2 linked regions of the Neodiprion lecontei genome follow. The protein of the gene in region 1 binds, or shares a complex with, the protein of each later gene. Links are inferred from orthologs where the notes say so. Each region holds a gene or a part of one and is shown on either strand. Other genes may lie near its edges. The genes, in order: actin-related protein 2/3 complex subunit 2 and actin-related protein 2.

What was found.
Region 2: actin-related protein 2/3 complex subunit 2 (region 1) and actin-related protein 2 share a complex: the UniProt entries of both Drosophila melanogaster proteins name them as parts of the arp2/3 complex. The link is inferred for Neodiprion lecontei from reciprocal best matches to the Drosophila melanogaster genes Arpc2 and Arp2.

Annotation. Positions count from the first base shown.
Region 1 is NC_060262.1:1,740,306-1,748,848, reverse strand, and holds actin-related protein 2/3 complex subunit 2, read left to right. Parts: upstream 1-4,023; 5' UTR 4,024-4,169; coding exon 4,170-4,243; intron 4,244-4,851; coding exon 4,852-4,945; intron 4,946-5,055; coding exon 5,056-5,155; intron 5,156-5,424; coding exon 5,425-5,611; intron 5,612-5,703; coding exon 5,704-5,924; intron 5,925-6,001; coding exon 6,002-6,203; intron 6,204-6,322; coding exon 6,323-6,350; 3' UTR 6,351-6,451; downstream 6,452-8,543. Other genes in the region: mitochondrial-processing peptidase subunit beta, read right to left, coding at 1,055-1,195, 1,303-1,557, 1,688-1,857, 1,948-2,138, 2,228-2,613, 2,737-2,955, 3,350-3,418; transmembrane inner ear expressed protein, read left to right, coding at 8,234-8,543. UniProt on the Drosophila melanogaster protein: Functions as actin-binding component of the Arp2/3 complex which is involved in regulation of actin polymerization and together with an activating nucleation-promoting factor (NPF) mediates the formation of branched actin networks.
Region 2 is NC_060266.1:18,355,603-18,367,113, reverse strand, and holds actin-related protein 2, read left to right. Parts: upstream 1-4,072; 5' UTR 4,073-4,442; coding exon 4,443-4,490; intron 4,491-5,065; coding exon 5,066-5,176; intron 5,177-5,352; coding exon 5,353-5,370; intron 5,371-6,353; coding exon of another isoform or gene 6,354-6,362; intron 6,363-6,849; coding exon 6,850-6,929; intron 6,930-7,613; coding exon 7,614-7,749; intron 7,750-7,839; coding exon 7,840-8,199; intron 8,200-8,285; coding exon 8,286-8,564; intron 8,565-8,765; coding exon 8,766-8,936; 3' UTR 8,937-9,987; downstream 9,988-11,511. Other genes in the region: NPC intracellular cholesterol transporter 2 homolog a, read right to left, coding at 148-235. UniProt on the Drosophila melanogaster protein: Functions as ATP-binding component of the Arp2/3 complex which is involved in regulation of actin polymerization and together with an activating nucleation-promoting factor (NPF) mediates the formation of branched actin networks.

The sequences.
Region 1 (8,543 bases):
TGTCATTTGAATCATTTGTTATATTATCTAACAATCATGCAATAATAACAGACGTAAATAATGGAGAGTACAACATTTAGCCTTTAGTTTCAAAATATAAATATATAACGGATACAAGTTAATGAATTGTGAACCTAAAAAATCTTGGCAATGCAAAATAATAAATAAATGCATAATAATTGGTCATCAATCGTGATATTGTTGATGTACTAAAGTTTTGATATACTATCTTCGCATTTACGTATAATTAAGCATTTAGTATTTACTGCGCTTCGCTTTGCCTTTTGTCAATTGAAATTGTTAGTGTCATTTTGTTGTTTTCGACAGTGATTTATTGTTATTGATTTGTATCAACTTAATTACTCTAGTCAGTATTGAATCAAAAACTAATAGTACTGTAACTGTAATAGTTTTTTTTTCCTTCGTCACTTCCTACGTTCTCAAATATGAATTTCCTTTTGGGGGCATTTCATTTTGTATCAGTCTCATATTATCGTGATGTAACGCACAAATATACATGTACTTATACATAATATAATTGATTTTTTCATTCACCAAGATTGCAAAAATAATTACGATTGCCGAAACTTTAATCCTACGAAGTAATTTGCAACAGATGAAAATTTTTCTTATAATAAATTATAAGGAATTTATTGGAGTGGTTTTGAGGAAGATTACATTCATCGTTATTGTGTCATTTATAGCTGGGTGACATTGACAACAGCATTTCAATTATATAAATATCTATTTAATATATTCATACACTGTCTCGAGTTAATGACGAAATGCGACGTAATTTCTCGAAGGGTTGTAACTACATGACATTCAAATTTAAACAAGACAATGTACATACATACATCAGCAAACTATTTTGCTTAATCCTCACAGTAAACATGTAAAATTGTATCAATTTGTTTGAGTCCAACTTCACCGCGAAATGATTAGCGTACGTACTTGATACAATCAATACTGCATTCTACAATTTTACTGTGATATATATGCATGTGGCTAAGAGTTACGTTATTAGTGGCGACTCGCGACTCTGGCCATACGTTTATACTCGGAGCCAATACATCGACTGACGAATACGAGTGTAGTCTGGGAGGTTTTCAACTGGGCCAACAGCTGCGACGACGGGACAACGATCATAGATGTACTTCATACCAATGTCGTGAATGTTCTTTGCGGTAACACTCTGTGGAATTGAACAAAAAGCAGAATATGTTATAAACACAAAACTGTTCCCTTGCGATTTTATGATAGTGAAAATTTATCGATTTGTAAATAATCATCGACACATACGTCTATCCTCTTCTCAAGTTCGTGCAAAGGTATGCGACGGTTATAACACAGCATCTGTCTGCCAATGTCTTCGCAAATCGCGGTAGTTCCGTCCAATTGAAGGAGCATGTTTGTCTTCAAGATATTTCTGGCTCGTTCAACTTCGCGTTCAGTGACGATAGTGCAGAGACGCATCCATTCGTTTTGAATATTGTAAAGCATTAGTTCGCACTGCATTGGGTCGCAAACAAAGTAAACTCCCCACAGTCCTGTATCCTGTAAGAGAATATTATCCCACTTGTTACAGACTAGCTTGATGGTGATTACTAATTTTTTTTCAATAACCAATATTTGAGTAAACCACCACTCCGCTTCAGTTAAACAACTAAGCAAATTGAAAACTCGCCTTGTAGCAGGTATTAAAGCTCTGATAGCTGTGACATAGTCCCATTTCGGCTGAGGCCTTGGCCAAATTACTAGCGTTGTTGGCTCCACCGCCCTGATTACGATCCCAAGCACCCATCAAAGTGTTGGCGACCATCAAGGGAATGTTGTCAGCGTCGGTCCATCCCGCGCCTTAAATTACACGATCAGAGAGATCAAAAATTGCGCACGGACTTTCACACTTTGGGAGAAAAGTCTGAGGTAATTATCTGATCTTGCTACCTTCAACAGCAATAGCTATATGAGCCAGAGGAATGCTGTCGTCACGGACACGGACTTCTGATCCAGTGTAGCGGCAATGATGAATTAGTGGGATTTCTCCCTCGATTTTGTTATCCAAACCACTGAAGTGTTTCTTAGCAAGATCAACGAGCTGCGCATGGTCAACGCCGCCTGCACCAGCCAGCACGCACCTGTGCACAACAGTAAACTTTGTTTACTAGAATTCTTGAATACGTGTGTAGTTTGGAAAACCGAATGCAGTTATATTCAATAATAATACCTTGAGGCCTTATAGTGATTCTTGACATAGGTAACAAGGTCATTCCTGGTGATGCTCTTGATGTTTTCAGTCGGTCCAAGAATGGTTCTGCCCAACGGAGTTCCCTGGTAGGCGACTGAGTGTAAGTGATCGAACACGACTTCCTGCAGATTTGTCTCCACCTCCTGCATTTCCCTGAGAATCACTCCCCTCTCTCTCTCAATCTCGCTCTCGCCTAGCTTAGAGTTCTGGATTATATCGCTCAGGATCTCGATCGCCTTTGGCACGTCCTGGGACAAACATTTTGCATAGAACACAGTCTGTTCCCTGCTCGTGTAGGCATTCAAGTGAGCTCCCATGTTCTCAATTTCCAGTTCCAGGTCTGTCTGGGAGCGTTTGGCAGTTCCCTGAAACAGATGTTAAATATTTAAAAAAATAAATTGCGCACGGAGCTTGCACAGATGCAAAAAATGCTGATCTTCAGGTTTATGCTCCTTCCGATACGGACGTTCTATCCATTAAAACCCTACCTTGAAAGCCATGTGTTCCATGAAGTGAGCAACTCCGTTGTTCTTGTCGTCTTCATACCGACTTCCGGCGTCGATCCACAGCCCAACGGTTGCCGTAGCAGCGCCGCTGTCTTCGCTGGCAACTCGCATGCCATTTTCAAAGGTCGTGGTCTTCGTGGCAGGCTGATTGATCAATGTCTGCTGAAGCGATGCTGCAGTGGACCTCCATTGCTTGGAGATCTGAAAAGGGGATGAGCTATAGGTTTTGCAGAAAAAGGAAGACTGCCAATTTTGAATTCTAAAATAAACACTGGGTATGGCAAGAACGTTAATTTCTCATCTCTTTTCCACCCATTATTGATCGTGGCATCGGCGGTACGGTGTATTATTGGATTCAGGATCGGAAGCTAGAATAACTTGAGCGATACTCGTGCGAATTGACGCCGTAAATATGAATAAATTGTGAGCTACATTACGTAAGGGGATACTACTTTGAAGCAGAAACAAAATTTGACTGTCGAGAACGGTTTTGCTCGCCGAGTAATCCCGTAAAAGATTTCCGAAAAATGTTGTGCTCGGCATAAGGCGAGACATCGACGAATCGTTGCGAGGAGTGACAGGTAGATGATTTTACCTTGACGTGACTGGTTTTATTCGAATAAGTTCGCAGCGCGGAACTAATCCTTAGCAGACGAGTCGCCATTTTCAGGTCTGGTGGTGTCTACCATGAAACACGAACTAAGAACGAGGATCTAGATGATACAAACCACTTTGCCGAGGTATCGCGATCTTCTAAGTGTTCAACTGTCGGAACGTCATCTTGTGGATTTTGCACAAACTGACTGTGAGTAGTAGCGAAAGCTAATAAAAAGAAATCGGTGCAAGGTGATTATATTCGTTCGATCTAGGCGCTAAATAAATTCTGTCATGTTTCACAGAGTAAAACGCCTGTCAAATGTAAATTAAAAAATTTCTGAAAATTCTTGCGCTATATTCGTTCTCTTCTGATTAGATTCCATTGCCAGGCCTCTGGCGTGTGAAATATATGTATATATTGTAATTTCATCTATGACTTGATCTAATTCAGTCAACGCTCCCATGTTTGAGATTGTTGGTAAATTTTGTATTTAAATTTCAAAACACCCGCCTTGAGGTCGGCCATCTTTGACTTTTGGAGCGCTGCCTGGGGGATGTCGAGATGAGGAATTGATTGTTGTTTACTTCTTTTCCCGCAGGAGGGTTCGAGGGGCCGGCCTAGCTCCAATGTTAACGCGGATTTCCTGCCGCTGGAGCGGTTGAGGATCCGAACCCCACTACACCCAGTCGAAGTGGAAAGATTAGAAATTAGTCAGAGCCGTCGTATTCGGTATTCATGGTTACAACAGCACTATATAATTGTTAATTATTGTATTATAGCATATTATATTCTAATAATAAAAATATTAGTCGTAATAATGATCTTACTTGAGATCAACAATAGGATAATAGAGGAAACGTTAAATAACAAAATAAAGAATGCCTTGGCTGGGTAAGTCTGTTTCGATGTTAAAAATTATACGAATAACTTTTTTTCCAACCGTTTATTCGTTTCATTCACCTAATTCCCTTTTTTTATTATTATTATTATTTTTTTTTATTTCTTATCCATATCAAACTAACTTTGAGGTTGGGGCGGTGTCTCGCTTTCGATATACCGCGGCTCTTTATATATCCTTATCTGATTAATTGCGAGAAACCGTTTTAACTCACTTCCCGGGGAAACTTGCGATTAGGAATCGCAAATGACAGAGAGTCAGGCCCGACCCTAGACTAACCTCACCCTGTCTAAACTTACTGGCTTTGACAGAATCTGTCAAGTGATCAAAACTTTTCTTTCCCATCTCGCCTACTTTACGCACCGATCTGCAAACTCTTATCTCTCGTTGACCACATCCTCCCACATTTTCACTCTGATGTGCAGATATCAAGAAGCTCCAAAAATAGAACAATTTTTCACACCTTTCAAATTGGAGCGTTCATTATGTTGAGACTTTAAATGCTACCGCATGACCGTTTGAATCACAAGGGGATCATGTTAATACGCGAAGCGCTGCATTTCGTTACTGCGATACATATTTGCTCATTTTCTTGTTACAGGCATAAACCGGAATCGATAGATGTCAAAATAGCTGACTTTGACGGAGTTTTGTTCCACATTTCCAATGTTGGAGGCGACAAAACCAAAATTAGAGTACGTATTCTGTCAGTCAATGACGAATACTTAAATCGTATCGTTGCCAAACTAGTCCACATGAAAATATTTCTGCACTCTCATTTTATCCGTATCTTTATTCCACACAGATTAGTATCTCGCTCAAGTTTTACATGCAGTTGCAAGAACATGGTGCTGACGAATTGCTCAAACGCGAGTATGGCCCTTTACTTACTACCGAAGAGGATGGTGAGTTGCAATTTTTCCAGAGTAATGATTTGTTTAAAATCCGTGGTGCTGATTGTTACTCTTGTTCCTTTATTTTGATTTAGCAAAAAATCTTCTGGCATATTGCCTTTGATTAAAAAAAAAAAAAAAAAAAAAAAATGAAAAGACTAATATTGTGGACTAATTTCTATCTCTTTGGATGTTTTCCTGTACATCAAGGCTCACTCGTTATTCTACGCTTTGCAGTGCCCTGTGAATGAATATAACAAATTATTTATCTTCTTTCCAAGGATACAATGTGTCGTTGCTGATAGATTTAGAGAACTTGCCCGAGGATTGGGAAGCGTTGGTCAAAAATGTTGGCCTGCTGAAAAGGCACTGTTTTGCAAGTGTATTTGAAAAATATTTTGACTTCCAAGAAGCAGGCGAGGAAGGCCATAAAAGAGCAGTAATACAATATCGAGATCAGGAAACACTGTGAGTATCGTAACAAAATGTAACACCATTTTTGCTTTAGTTGAAATCAAGTTCGTTGAGTCAGGAGAAATTCATTTTCCTCCTATTTCCAGGTACGTAGAGGCCAAAAGTGACAGAGTAACCGTGGTATTTAGTACAGTGTTCAAAGATGAAGATGACATAGTTATCGGCAAAGTGTTTCTACAAGAACTCAAGGAAGGGAGACGGGCGAGTCACACCGCGCCACAAGTCCTCTTCAGTCATCGGGAGCCACCGTTGGAGCTTCAAGATTCTGACGCGGCGGTCGGCGATAATGTGGGTTACATTACTTTTGGTAAGTACTTTTCGAAATGCTTTTCCAAGTGCTCGTTACTTATCATTCGACAACTTATTATATGCCTTTTACGGCAGTGCTGTTCCCGCGACACACGAATCGGGAGGCCCGTGACAACACCATCGACCTGATTCACATGTTCAGAGATTACCTGCATTACCACATCAAATGCAGCAAGGCGTACATACACTCAAGAATGCGTGCCAAGACCTCAGATTTCCTCAAAGTACTAAACCGCGCGAGACCCGAGCCTAAAAACATCGAAAAGAAAACCATAACGTGAGTATAAATTACAGTACTTGACAAAAAATCGCTAGCAATTGTTTACCTAGAATTCTGATCCGTAATTGCGACCCTCTTTGCTAATTTTTTTTTCACTTATTTTTGTCTTCTTGCAGAGGTCGAACGTTCATTAGGAAGGAATGAGCCTACGAGTCAATCGATAATGTTAATACTAATTAAAACAGAGATGAACGAGGGACGTTCAATTACCTTGTGTCGTCATCTAAGGTCCACGAATACAAAAACAAAAAGATGATTCGTCCTTGAAGCGACGGTCCCGTTTAATAAAATTAGTAAGCCAAGAGCTTCCCATCCCACAGGCCCGAGTTTATGCTATAGTATTTGGCTATACAGGCTAGACAGGCGATAGTTTGAGTGTACAACAATTCGTAGTAGATTCTTGTAATTTTTGTTTGTGTAATCCGTTAATATTTACAATTTCGTCTTTAACTATTAATTAATTATTGCCATCGTACCTTCTACTGCATTTAACATGCCTAACTTCGAGTAATTTTTTGTGTATAAGTACTTTTCAATGCATTTCTTTTTCAATAATTTAACTAAAGATATTTACAATAACCTTTACTAAACTTTTAGTTTCTCAGTTTGAGCCAACTTATTCTGATGTATGAACATATTTAATTTAAAACTAATTTTACAACAGCACCCTAGTTCGAACTAGCAACGTTAATGATAAGTGTTCAGTCTTAACGTAGTTGAAATAGTGCATTTCAAAATCAGAATTTGAACGAGGAAATTTTAAATACCTTGACTCATATTCAAAATGAAATTGAGCAAAAAAAAATAGGAAGTCCAATACGTGACGTTTGGGACATTTGAGTTGGAATATTTGAGTTACAAAATTCTGCAATAATATTCATCATCACGATGATCTTTCCAATTGCAGAAAGCAAAACTTGTTCCTGACTATTGTAAAGAAGGTATTTTTTTTTTTTGCATATCGAAACCTTTTCTCATACGTCAGCACTACTCGCTAGTCATTTAGACAAAGTAGCATCCAAGTTGTTGCGATCAAAGTGACGATGTGTGGGAACTGTTTGAAAATTCGCTATTTTCAGTGGTTTCATTTTGATCAAACTACATGACTATCCTGTATCGCACAAACACTCTGACGTCTCTAGCTCCTGTTTAGGAAAACTCTGTAATGAAAATACGGACTAGTGACGCCAGGTAATATTGGAACTGGAAAAAATGTTGTGGTTTACCCTGATCCTATCTACTGTAATTATAAAATTATGAAATTGAAAACAGAAACTAGTACATAATCTAAAAACAGAAAGCTTCAGACCGAAAAGAAACGATAACAGATAATCAAGAAATTTAACAAATAAAAAAATGAAGTGGATACCGTTAAACGACGTAGTTTTTTGCGTCGTACCCGCGTAACATAGTACATTGTTTTTGTAACAAATGATTATTTTTATTTCCAATCTTTACCTATTATTATTATATAATAATTATTATTATAAGGTAATAAAAAAAATATTACAAATAACGAAATGCAGTGCAAAACAAACAAATAATATTTAGCCCCTTTTTAAGTTTGCTAATACTTTCCAATGACGACATAAACTTAATAATGGCAATAATAACTCTCTCCTCGGAGTCACGGAGATATTGATCTTTGATCAAAGAATAGGTTGAATCATGCGAAGCAGTAAATTAGGGAGTGCCAGTTGGAAATATTCATTAGTAACCATGCCACACCCTCCATGCCACTCAACTTGATCACAAACCCATTCTACATTTTCAGTGAGATAGGATTTTTCGTCCGGAATACACTGAACTAAATGCCTCTGTGCAACAACTGTGCCAACTAATAGAACACTTTTCAACGAATTTTATTTTTGTAAAAGAAAATAAAGTCCTCTGCCAGGGGTTTTTCCGTGCAGATAGTTATTCACTTACCAATTTAAGCAGCCAAGATTTTGTCAAGATATATCGACACAATGTAACGAAGACCCAGTGTATTATGTGAACAGATAGAAAATTCACCCGAATTTTCAATGGACAAAGAAACAAATTTGACAATGCCAAGCTCCGCTTCCTCGACGTTGACCGTGCCACCCTGTTCTCCGAACGAAGTGCCGATAAGGCATGGAGACTGTGGCGACGGTGGCGTGAACGAATGGCTCGAAGACGAAACCGTGGCTGGTTTTCGGGTATGGCAATTAGCTGGAATGGTTCTCTCCGTTTTGTTAACTATCATAATAGCACTGTGCTGCTGCATAAGATTTAGAGTTCCTCGGACGAAGCAGGAGATCGAGGCTGACTATATTAGGAACAAAATAACAAGGCGGTTCAGGAAGGAATTAA
Region 2 (11,511 bases), on another chromosome or scaffold:
TAAATTTGACCTTATTAACAATTCAGTAACTTTTCAGCTTTTAAATAATTTCCATTTCCATCGATATATTTTTTTATACTCTTCTTTCATCCTCCGATAATTTATCCCATTTTTTACCGTACAGATATCCTTGATAATGTTACTTACTGGTGCCACATTTTAAAACTGTAGTAGCGAAAGCCGATTCGCTGGCCAAAACCAAAACTAGCGAAAACGCAAAAATTTCCCTCATCATCCTGTTGCTGCTGCTGCTGCTGTTGCGGGGTTCCAAAATCACCACTGTAGTTTCTCGATTCCAACGCGACACTGAAACGGCTTCGGATTCCCGTGGAAAATTCAAGAAGCATCGCAAATATCGCCCGCGATATCGGACACTCGCTGCCCGTGATATCTTGACCGTTGAAACGGGTCGCCGAGTGACCCAAACCCGAGATAACGAGGAATTTTTATCTTTAAGCCACGAATCTTGTTGTACGCGAGCAGAAAACCAATTACAAAAAAAATAAAATTAAGAAGAAATAAACCAGACGATTGCAACCGAGATCTGAAAAATTCGATTTCTAATTTCAGGTAAATTGTTTCTCTCATTTTTCGATCGATTGAAGAAAAATCGCCTGGACATTGTCAAAAAACGATTTGAATATCCAAATCGTTGTGAAATAATCATTTTCAAATATGTAGGGAGGGAACAGAAACAAACAAAAAACTTTACGCTTATCGTAAAAATCGTATGGAATCAAAAATAACTTTGCTGCACTTCTGAAGTAAATTTATGTGCAGCTTTTTGATGAAAAAATCTTTACAGTTTCTAAGGGGGTAAATTGTTGAACGGTTCGTGTGACGAGAGCTGAAACGCAGAGTTCAATAACAACTTTAAAAAGTTGACAACTTTTTATACCGAGGGCAATCGGGTGCACTTGCACCGAAGAGTTCAAAGAGCGTCCAACCAGGAGATTATCAAGTGCGACGAACGTTTCCAAGAAACGATAATATATTCGTTGTGAAACTTGCAATCGGCGTAAAACGTTCGACTGAATAACGCGCCAATTTCTCACGAAATGTTTGTCAAATTTACGTCGTCTTTTAGTTGAATCATTTTCTAAAAAAATTTTCGAGCCGCAAATTTCTTTCCGCTTCTCTAAACTCGCGATTTCATATATTTCGATTCATTCCAGAGATCGGAGTCCAGAAAATCTAACAATTGGATAATTTCTGTACATCAAAATTTTTCAAAATTTATCCCCAAGGGCTTCTCAGTAAATTTGTTTTACTAACCCTAGCTAATTTACCGACGTATCTCACTTGGCTTTGGATCTATCTCGATCCATCGATGGTAAAGCAGATCGTGAACAAAAATTATACAAACTTATAGGTGAATGAATTTTTTCACCTAAAATTTCACTAACATTGCATTCGATCTATAAGTATCCAATTTTATCTATGATCAATCAATTATCGACTAAAATGTTAAGCAGTAATGAGCTTGGGCGAAAATTTTACAAACTTTTATTCCACTTTCCTTACACATCTATAACATTTTATAATTATACTATACGTAGGTATGTAATAAAAATTACTTATACTTACGTATAGATCTGTGATGGTGAGATTTAAAAACAAAAAGAAAAGAAAATTCATGGTGGAAATTCATGGGATCTTTTTTTTCCCCTCTCTCCCTTATTTGCAAATTTTTTACCCATTATCCAATATTAAAATACACAAAAAAAAAAGAAAAAATAAACAAAAGAAAACGTTGGAAGAATATCATTTCGTATAAATGGAGAAAAAATGTAATGGTAATATTAAAAACACGAACAACTGTGTGACAATTATTACCGGTGAATACAATGCGGACGATTGCTACATTTATGAATTTGGCATTACGTTATTTGCGCCGGCACTTCGAAGCATGCGATGTTTTTCTGGCCCTCACTCAAAGCCCAGTGGACCTTCAGGATGAGCTGTAATGAAACGAAGAAGGTAGAAATTAAATAAAAAAATCAGCTCAAGGTGTGATAAATTTAACGTTCAAGTTCAAATTGGACTAAAACGTTTAAAAAAAAACCTTGTCGAATAAGTGAGACGCTTGAATATAAAAAAATCCATCAATTATATAATTTTTTTTGTTTCTACAATTTTTTTTTATATCTATTCCAATTACCATGTTTGCATTACATAACAAGATTAGAATATACAAATTTTTAAACGAAAACTGAAATAAAACCGCCTCGGAGATAATAAACAGCGGAAATTTATATGATGGATACGTGCGTGCGCAGCTGAATTTGCTTTTTACGTGTTTTTTATTTATTCATCTATTCGTTTCTTCCCACGTAACAATGAATATTTCAGAAAACTTTCTGAAATCTTTCATGAAAGGAAAGAAGTATATCAAAAATAGTTCAAAAAAATGTTACTGCAAGTTGAAAATGTCCGCGCCAGAAACTTGTAAAAGATTTCTTGATTGTTGTTGTTCTTAAAAAGATTCTCATAATGTTTCTATAAAATATTTTATTGAAAGTTTCTTAGAAAGATTTCATGTTATATGGAATAACTTCCTTAACAAATTATTGCCAGATATATTCATCATTTGTTCGTCGTTATTAAAAGGATTATATCTAATTCATCAAAATTTACCTTTGATTCATAGAAATTATAGTAAAATTGTGTAGGGAATTTTCTCACTTTAGCGGCCCTTAATTGTCTTCATTTTCGATCGAATCGAACTTTTCCAGGACATAATATAATGGCATAGTCGGTAACTTGTTACATTGAGTAACTGTATTCTATTTTGAAAAAGCCAGCTATATCTGTATTTGTTTGCTACAAGAATTGAATAGTAACTTGCCGACATCATCAATCACAGTAGATCAGTATATGATCTATTATGCCGGTACGACTTACTGCCGTCTTTTCATACCGACGAACACTGCGAGTGTGGCATTTTACCGACGTACACTTAGCCTAGCTGGCCCCTGAATCTGCAAGAAATATCACCCGAGGCTGGCTCTTTTAAATACTATATGGTTATGGATATGGATATCTTAGGGCCTATGGTTAGTGCAGTTAGTGGCAGCGCTAATACCTTCTAGTCGGTACCATAGACAGAGCATGGACTGCGCTTTCCCTAGTAGTAGAAAAGAGACAACCACGGTCTTACATACAGGTCTCCAGCTAATTTTTGGTGGTGGGAGTGACTCTGCTAAGAGTACCCGTGTTTGCAGTTCTTAATGTGACCGTCAAAGTCCTTGCGATCTAGGGTACAATGTACAGCGTATACAGCAATACTTGGAAAATAGAGGTTATGTTCTCAGCATAAACAAGTCATTAGTACCTTTAAAAAATACCCCTAGATTGTTGCGCTCACCACTGTCAGAACGTGAAATGCAAAAACGAGTAACGTTAGTGGACCCTTCCCCCACCACCAGAGCTGCCAGACCTGTATGTAAGAACGTGGAGACAACACTCTGCGATAAAACTTGTTCGCACTTTTGAGGTAACGTAACAGGAATTGTCTGAATGCGATTTGAGCTCCTCTTACGGAAAAAGGGACATTTCACCATAAGATTCGATAAAAGAAAGGCGGCGATCGTAACCTATAAGGCCCCGTGCTATCAACCTTAGAGCATACTGTACATGCTCTAAGCTATAAACATACTCCGTAAACACTAAAATATGCATTCTAAGCGAATGAAAACTGAGTAATTGTTTTAACTTCAAGCGACATTAAATCCGAAAAAAAGGTAACAAACGGTGGATCGTAAGATCATAGAGGCAAGGAGGAGAAGCGCTGTACGGGCTTACACCGCAAGAGGCGCTTAAATCGCACCTTGCCAATTCCTCTCACGTTGCCCCAAAAACTGGGCCAACTTTTAAGCTGAGCTTTGCTTGAGTGTTGTCCATGTATGCAAGAAATATATCCCACTCTGAAATACATAAAATGTATAAACGCATTTGCGTCATCGAACAATCCAATCTGTGATTTTCTAGTGGATTTACTCTGCCGAATGATGGCCGAGTGACCGGATCACGCAGCAATGTAGTTACCAATCTGCGTCACGAGTACTTTATGTTTGTGCAAAACTGAACCATCGACACTGAACCGTGTATTTCCCGATTGACAGATTGAATGGCTCCGCAGGAGGGCCATTATTTTCGAATAATATTATCTCTGATTAGTCGTTGATTAATTCGATCGAATTTTACTACACTCTATAAGCTTTGAAGTGGTAAAGAAATCTTCACACAGTATCACTTCTAACTAAATTTCAATGTATTAAAACGCTTTGGAAACATTTGTTTCCGTATACCGGTGACGCCCTTCTGGGTGTAGAAATTGTGGACTGATTAACTGATTAGTCATACTAATCAAGCATTAAATCAACGTTAGAACCCTAGCACAAACAGACAAGTGTCAAACGTTGAACCAAAAATTAATTAAAATGGATAGCCAAGGACGGAAAGTAATCGTGTGTGACAATGGAACTGGGGTAAGGTTATGCACATGTATATATTTATTTTATTGTACTAACGTACCTACTCTGCTTTCATTTATTGACCACATCATCAGTCAGTAAATTCGCTTCACCTGGCTTCACATAATCATTTTGTAATTGATTCACTTACAGATTTTTTCAGTTTCATAGTCTTTATCATGTCATTTAAATATCGACAAACTCCGTAGTGAAAATATTTGAATTACTAGTAAACCCTTGTGGAATTCAGAAAAATCTGTGCCGTAACTAAAATTAAAAGTAGTTTGTGTACGAGAATGAAAATTTAAATTTCATATTATAAGTCCATTTTTTTTTTCTTGACTCGTGGTGATTCTTGCCAAATTTTCAAGGTTTAAGGGTAATATTGTTCATTCGCCTTAGATTACAATTCATGATTAGTTCCTAAGTATGGTTGTTTAATGAAATTGAGTTTTCAACAAATGCTGAATTTGTTTACGTAACGTTTCATTGATTGTAATCTCTACAGTTTTGCATACGTACAGTGAGATATTCAAAATAAAATTACATTTGTATTTGATTTCTCACAAATAAGATTTTTTCTATTTCAGTTCGTCAAGTGCGGATATGCAGGCTCAAATTTTCCAGCACATATATTTCCCTCGATGGTTGGACGGCCTATTATAAGAGCCGTTAACAAGATTGGAGACATCGAAGTTAAGGTATATTATCCAAGAAATTGTTTCTGTCCTACAGTTTCATATTGTTTAAAAACATTGAAAGTTGGAGAATAATTATGTTAATTACATATCTTTTATGCATCTAAAATTCAGTGTCTGTCTAAGAAATAAGAAATGAAACTTTTGAATAGTTTAATTAAAAAAACTGAAAATTTCAGGAGGAATTTTATGTCCGAGTAAGTTACTCCGCACAGTTACATGTGTCAGTGTGTCATTCTGATCATTTTGTGTTTATTTGATGTTTATTAATGAATAATAATATCAGTAATAACAAATTTCAGTTGTATAACGTGATTTGAATGGTTACTCGTCATTTTGTTCTTTTACCTTACATTGCTTTTGGCCATGGAAAATAACCGGGATGAAAAAATATACTTCAGACATAATGTATAAAGAGACGGATGCAAAATTTATTCAAATTCTTTCCTCCCACACAATGGAAACTCACACGATTCAACTTCGACAGTAAAAAAAGCATCATTAAAAACTCAAAGTCAATACTTGAAACTACTTGAAAATTTCTATCTTACCAAGTCCTAAAAATATTTTAAAACCATTTCTCGTATCTCTCAAACATTTCGCAAATTTTCTTTTATATACATATTGTCAGTTGATCTGTTGCTTCCACCTTACACAATCAAAGGAAACAAATTAGAAACGAATTATGTTGGGTGTGCCTTTAACCAATCATAGATTGCTGCTATCTTTGTCAATTATGAACAGAACTAATTAAAAATGTTCTGCTAAAGAAAAAATTTAAAGGTGTCCTCAAACACCAGTCGAATTTAAAATGTACAGATTTTGACATTGTATCTATTGACGTTTTAAAATCGATATTCATCTATATGATAAATGATGTCACATTTGCTATAAAATTGCAGAAATTTACTTACGTTTTCTTAATTTACTAATTTCCATGATTGCTGTATGAGATTAAATATAAATGCAACAACAATAAATGCACAACATCTTTGTGGTATTTAATCAAAATCCATTGTTGCTAATTTTTTCGACGAATGTCAAGTTGGGATGTACGTATACTTAAAAACGAAAATTGAAACAAAAAAAAAAAAATGTTCAAGTTAAATTTGTTTCAATATGTAAACGTATATTACATAATCAGTCTATACATGTTTGTGTGTTATTACCGCTCGCATAGGATATGCCAGTAAGTTTGACGACATGTTATGGTTATTCAATATCCTGGAAAAATTCTATAGTTGTGTAATAACTTTTTTTTGGCACATAACGAATAAGTATAATTTCCATGGCGTTATTTTGTTCTATGCACTATTACGTAAAATGCTGTAAACTGTATAGAATGGAAGTGAATTCAATATACTTCTGCAAATAAATACAATTGATGATAACTGCTAGTATGTATGTACATATGTGTATGTGTGTATAGGAATGATTGTTATTCAATCAACTAACAGCATGCACGTTTTTTTATCCAAAGCGCACAGACGTGAGTTCCTTTAAAATTATCCTAAAACTTGCATACGATGTGTAGTATGAAAATAACTGAAGAATGTAACGTGTTTGGTAACGCAATTTTACTACGCAAAAGAAATTCCCTGCGCTATTCAGATGAACGAGAAATCGTTCAATTCGAAACAGTCGCAAGACCTACAGCCGAGATTGCTTTTTTGCAGGACTTGATGGTAGGCGACGAAGCGAGTAAACTTCGTTCAATGCTCGAAGTTAGTTACCCTATGGAAAATGGAATTGTCAGGTGAGCTTTATCAAACGGAACAGTTTTCTATCTGCACTTGAATTAACTCCTTCCCAAAAATGAACTTCAACCCTGACTGAATCCATTTCAAACGATACTGTCAGGTCAACCACAAGTCTATCTATTTGGGCATAAACATGATCTTTTCGTGAAATTATATTGTGAGTATTCTCATTTTGAAAGGCAAAATCGTTGATCGTCAAAAAAAAAAATAGCAACCTCTAATTTTCATTAAGTGCTGTAATTACCTACGATATTTAAATTGTTTATTCAAATTCCAATGAACGTTCTTCATTTTGTTTAAATATTTACTGGTATATTCAAAATACTTTGTAATTAACTAGCCGCTGTTGTTCCGTAAATCCAAAGTCAGTATAAACAACGATCCTTATGTTAATTGTAAACAGTTTTACAATTCTGTAGTGGATTTCAAATGGAAATCAAAAATTAAGAGAATTATAAAATAAAAAGCAAACTTGTCTTTACACATTTTATGATTTTCTATTATCAGCATCCCTTATACTCATAACTAGAGTACTGATAACTTTGTAAAAAAATATATTTGTCATGTATATATTATATACATGTATAGAAAGAGAGAGATTGATGCTATGACTTGTGTTTGATCTGCCTATGTGATTGCAAAAGCGATAAGTTCAAAATTCAACGTACTCAAATTAACAGGAATTGGGAAGACATGTGCCACGTATGGGATTACACGTTTGGCAAAGAAAAAATGAATATAAATCCAAAAGAGTGCAAAATATTACTGACAGAACCGCCAATGAATCCAACAAAAAATCGTGCGAAGATGATAGAGGTGAGGGAGTTTTCCTTAAATTGACAATTATGGTAGTGAAACCAGTAATCATGAACGTTGATAATTGATAAATTCATTTTATTTATGCAGGTAATGTTTGAAAAGTATGGATTCGATGGCACATATATCGCCATTCAGGCTGTTCTCACGCTCTACGCACAAGGTTTGCTCAGCGGAGTAGTTGTGGACTCTGGAGACGGTGTGACTCACATTTGCCCGGTTTATGAAGAATTCGCCCTGCCGCATCTGACGCGAAGATTGGATATAGCTGGGCGTGATATTACTAGATATTTAATAAAACTGTTACTGTTGCGAGGCTACGCATTCAATCACTCGGCAGATTTTGAGACTGTTAGAATGATGAAAGAGAAGCTGTGTTATATTGGATACAATATTGAAACAGAGCAAAGGTTAGCCCTTGAGACGACGGTCCTTGTGGAACCTTACACAGTGAGAAATATTTCTTGATCTTTATTTCTACATGCTTCGGAATTTTAATAATAGAAACGGAAAAAATTAAGTGAGAAAAATTCCAGCTTCCAGATGGCCGAGTTATCAAAGTTGGCGGAGAACGGTTCGAAGCACCCGAAGCTCTTTTTCAACCACATCTAATCAATGTCGAAGGCCAAGGAATAGCGGAACTTGTTTTCAACACTATCCAAGCCGCGGACATTGATATTCGAAGTGAACTTTACAAGCATATTGTTCTCAGCGGGGGTAGCACTATGTATCCTGGACTTCCATCCAGGCTGGAACGTGAACTGAAGCAACTCTACCTTGAACGAGTTCTCAAAAACGATATTGACAAATTATCGGTTGGTTTCAAGCTATTTGAAATTCATTGACAGTACCTTTCAATATCACGTGTTCAATTTTCTTTTACATATGTTATTTTTTTATTATTTTTTTTTTCCCCATGTTGAATTGAATCAAATACGCTTGGGTCAATGCCTCCAATCAATTGCACGGTTTTTTATGGAAATTTTGTCGATTCATTGGTCGAACTTTTATTTCAGAAATTTAAGATCAGGATCGAAGATCCTCCAAGGCGCAAGGACATGGTGTTTATTGGTGGTGCAGTGTTGGCAGAAGTCATGAAAGACCGTGACTCGTTCTGGATAACGAGGGAAGAATATGAAGAAAAGGGTCTTGGCGTACTAAACAAATTGACTGCCCGTTCTAGTTAAAGAAATATTCGTTTAGAATAAAAAACGAAACGAAACCCAAATCGTATGAGATGATCATACAATGAAAATTTTCATAAGTGACACAAAGTGAAGGATTTTTGTAACTGGAACTGGTTACAAAGTATCCAATTCCATTTTGGAAATGTGCTTGGATATTATTACACACCGTTTAAAATTAATTATTAATACTAACTGTGTATTTCGACAATGAAAAGTTGAATAACATTTAAACATTCAAAATTTCTGTTAAAAAATCAAACCTTTATTTTTTTTTTTCGTCATTATTAAATATGACAGATAGCGATAAGATAAGACTCTACAGAGTGAACCAAGTTCGAGGGTACGACGTGTTACAAATGAAAGATTATCATTCATATTATTGCAATTAGATATTGGTTCTATGGTATCAACGGTCAATTTGATAAGCAGTATAATTTCATCGCCTAGATTTAGAAATGATGCAATGCCTAAACGGGGCTTTTCGCGTCAACTAAGCCACTTTTGTTCGTAAAATAAAAATTAACTGTCAAAAACTCAGTCTTCCTCTGGCACCTCAATGCTGTAGGTCACGGCGATACAGACATACGTTAATTTTTTTTTACTAGAAGATCATTGGAACGATTTTATATAGAGTGTGAAAAATTCTCTACTGAATGCAAAGAAGGTGTCTCAGTTGTCGAGTTAAACAACTCACTGACAAGAAGTAGCAAATTGTGTAATAAATATTGATTATGTATGAATTATTCTAGCACTATGAACCGTACTTTCTACATCTACTTAAAAATAGTTCTAACCAGGTGCATTTATAAAATTCATTAAGTCAAGAAGGATTTAAACGAAACAGATACATAGATATATCGATATGTAGGATCGTTTGGAATGCTTTCATTTTTAGTGTATATTTTAGATAATATTATTCTTATTATTATTATTACCATTATTATCCAGATATCACTTCATTGTTGTACATACATAGCCTCGGCTAAACGAGACAGTTTTGTATTTTGGATCAGAACTTCAGCAAAAATAAATTTACCTATTGTAAAAGTTACTACCTCTGTATGTATATATATGTAGTGGAAAACTGTACATAATGTACGCATAAAAATTGTAAATGTGTTCGCTATTCGAAATAGGCAATTGAAAATCATTAAGGATGTTGCCTCAAACCCATTGAATGAGATTTCTAGCAGTCATGATTTATCGCTTGATGTTGACATTTTGCAACAATAGAATTTTAAACTCCATTCCATCCTATTCTCCTTGTCAAGCGTATCAAATTTTTGGTTTTAACAAACAGCGTTAAATAATTATAAACTAGTTATATTACATTAAATTTATATTATTTTTATTATGCAAAATTTTAAACCTTTCATAATAAAGAAAAAAAATACGCACGGACACTTATACTTTGGCCACATGTTGATTCAAGATATATTGAACCATTCTACAAGTGTTTAAAATCTTTGTAATCATGTGAAATCAATGAATTTACGACAGTTTTGCAACACTTTTTAGTATTCTGTGGACTTTTTCGAAATCCTGAAGACCTTCGGAAATATCTGAAATATTTGGATTTGTCATTCTAACAATCACTGTTCAAACTGACAATGAGCAGAATTACGTCTTTCACAGCTGATTTTACGTTCGAATCTCATTTTTTGAAAAGTAAACCAAGCGTTAACAATCTGTATTCAGTAATCACAAAGCGAAAAATTTTCCAACATATTTAAAATAAAAATAATACAATTAGAACATTTTTAATTTTGAATTTTATATGTGTTGGCACCATCGAACATGCGGCCATTCATCGCTTTGGCGGTAACGTTACCAGCTTTGCCGTTGGGCACTTTCCTTTTACATCATTGTTTGACACATTACGACACCGAGTAATTTCATTGGCCTATTCCGTTAGATCCAACCAATAAAATCACTTGGGCCCGTATTCATAGTCAGGTCTCAAGGCGGTGCTTAAGACCGTCTTGGTGAAGATCGTCTTATTCGTTCAAGACCGTCTTGAGATGCTATGTATTCATAGTCGGAAAACAAGACGGTCTTCGTCAAGAATTTGGTCTCAAGCGCTAGCTTATTTCATTCAAGACCGTCTTGACGAAGACTGAGCTTGAGACGGTCTTATTCGACGTTCGGTTATGTTCGGAATATTTCCGATGTATCCCCCAATAAGATGCTCGGATTTTATTTCTCAGCCTGTGCAAGATATTCGTATAGGCATGCAGCTCTTGAGTATTTTTATAGTTTATGAACACAACAACGTTAGCGCCACGTAGAGGAACTAAAAAACGGGAACAAATCGCGTGCAATTTTTTGTAGTGGGTGTATAGCTATAAAACGAAGAAGAAGAAAAAGAATTTTATAGTGTATGTTTATGTGTATATAATTTTTATATACACATATTTTAACCTATATCATTATGTAAATCTCTATACCGGTTATTGATAAATAAATTGTATTGATATGTTAAAAGGAATCCCGGTGCAGACTTGCAAAAAAATGCGCGTGAAAGGGACAACCTTTGATCTTCAAAGTTCAAAAGAGCAACTTTAGTTCTATTTAC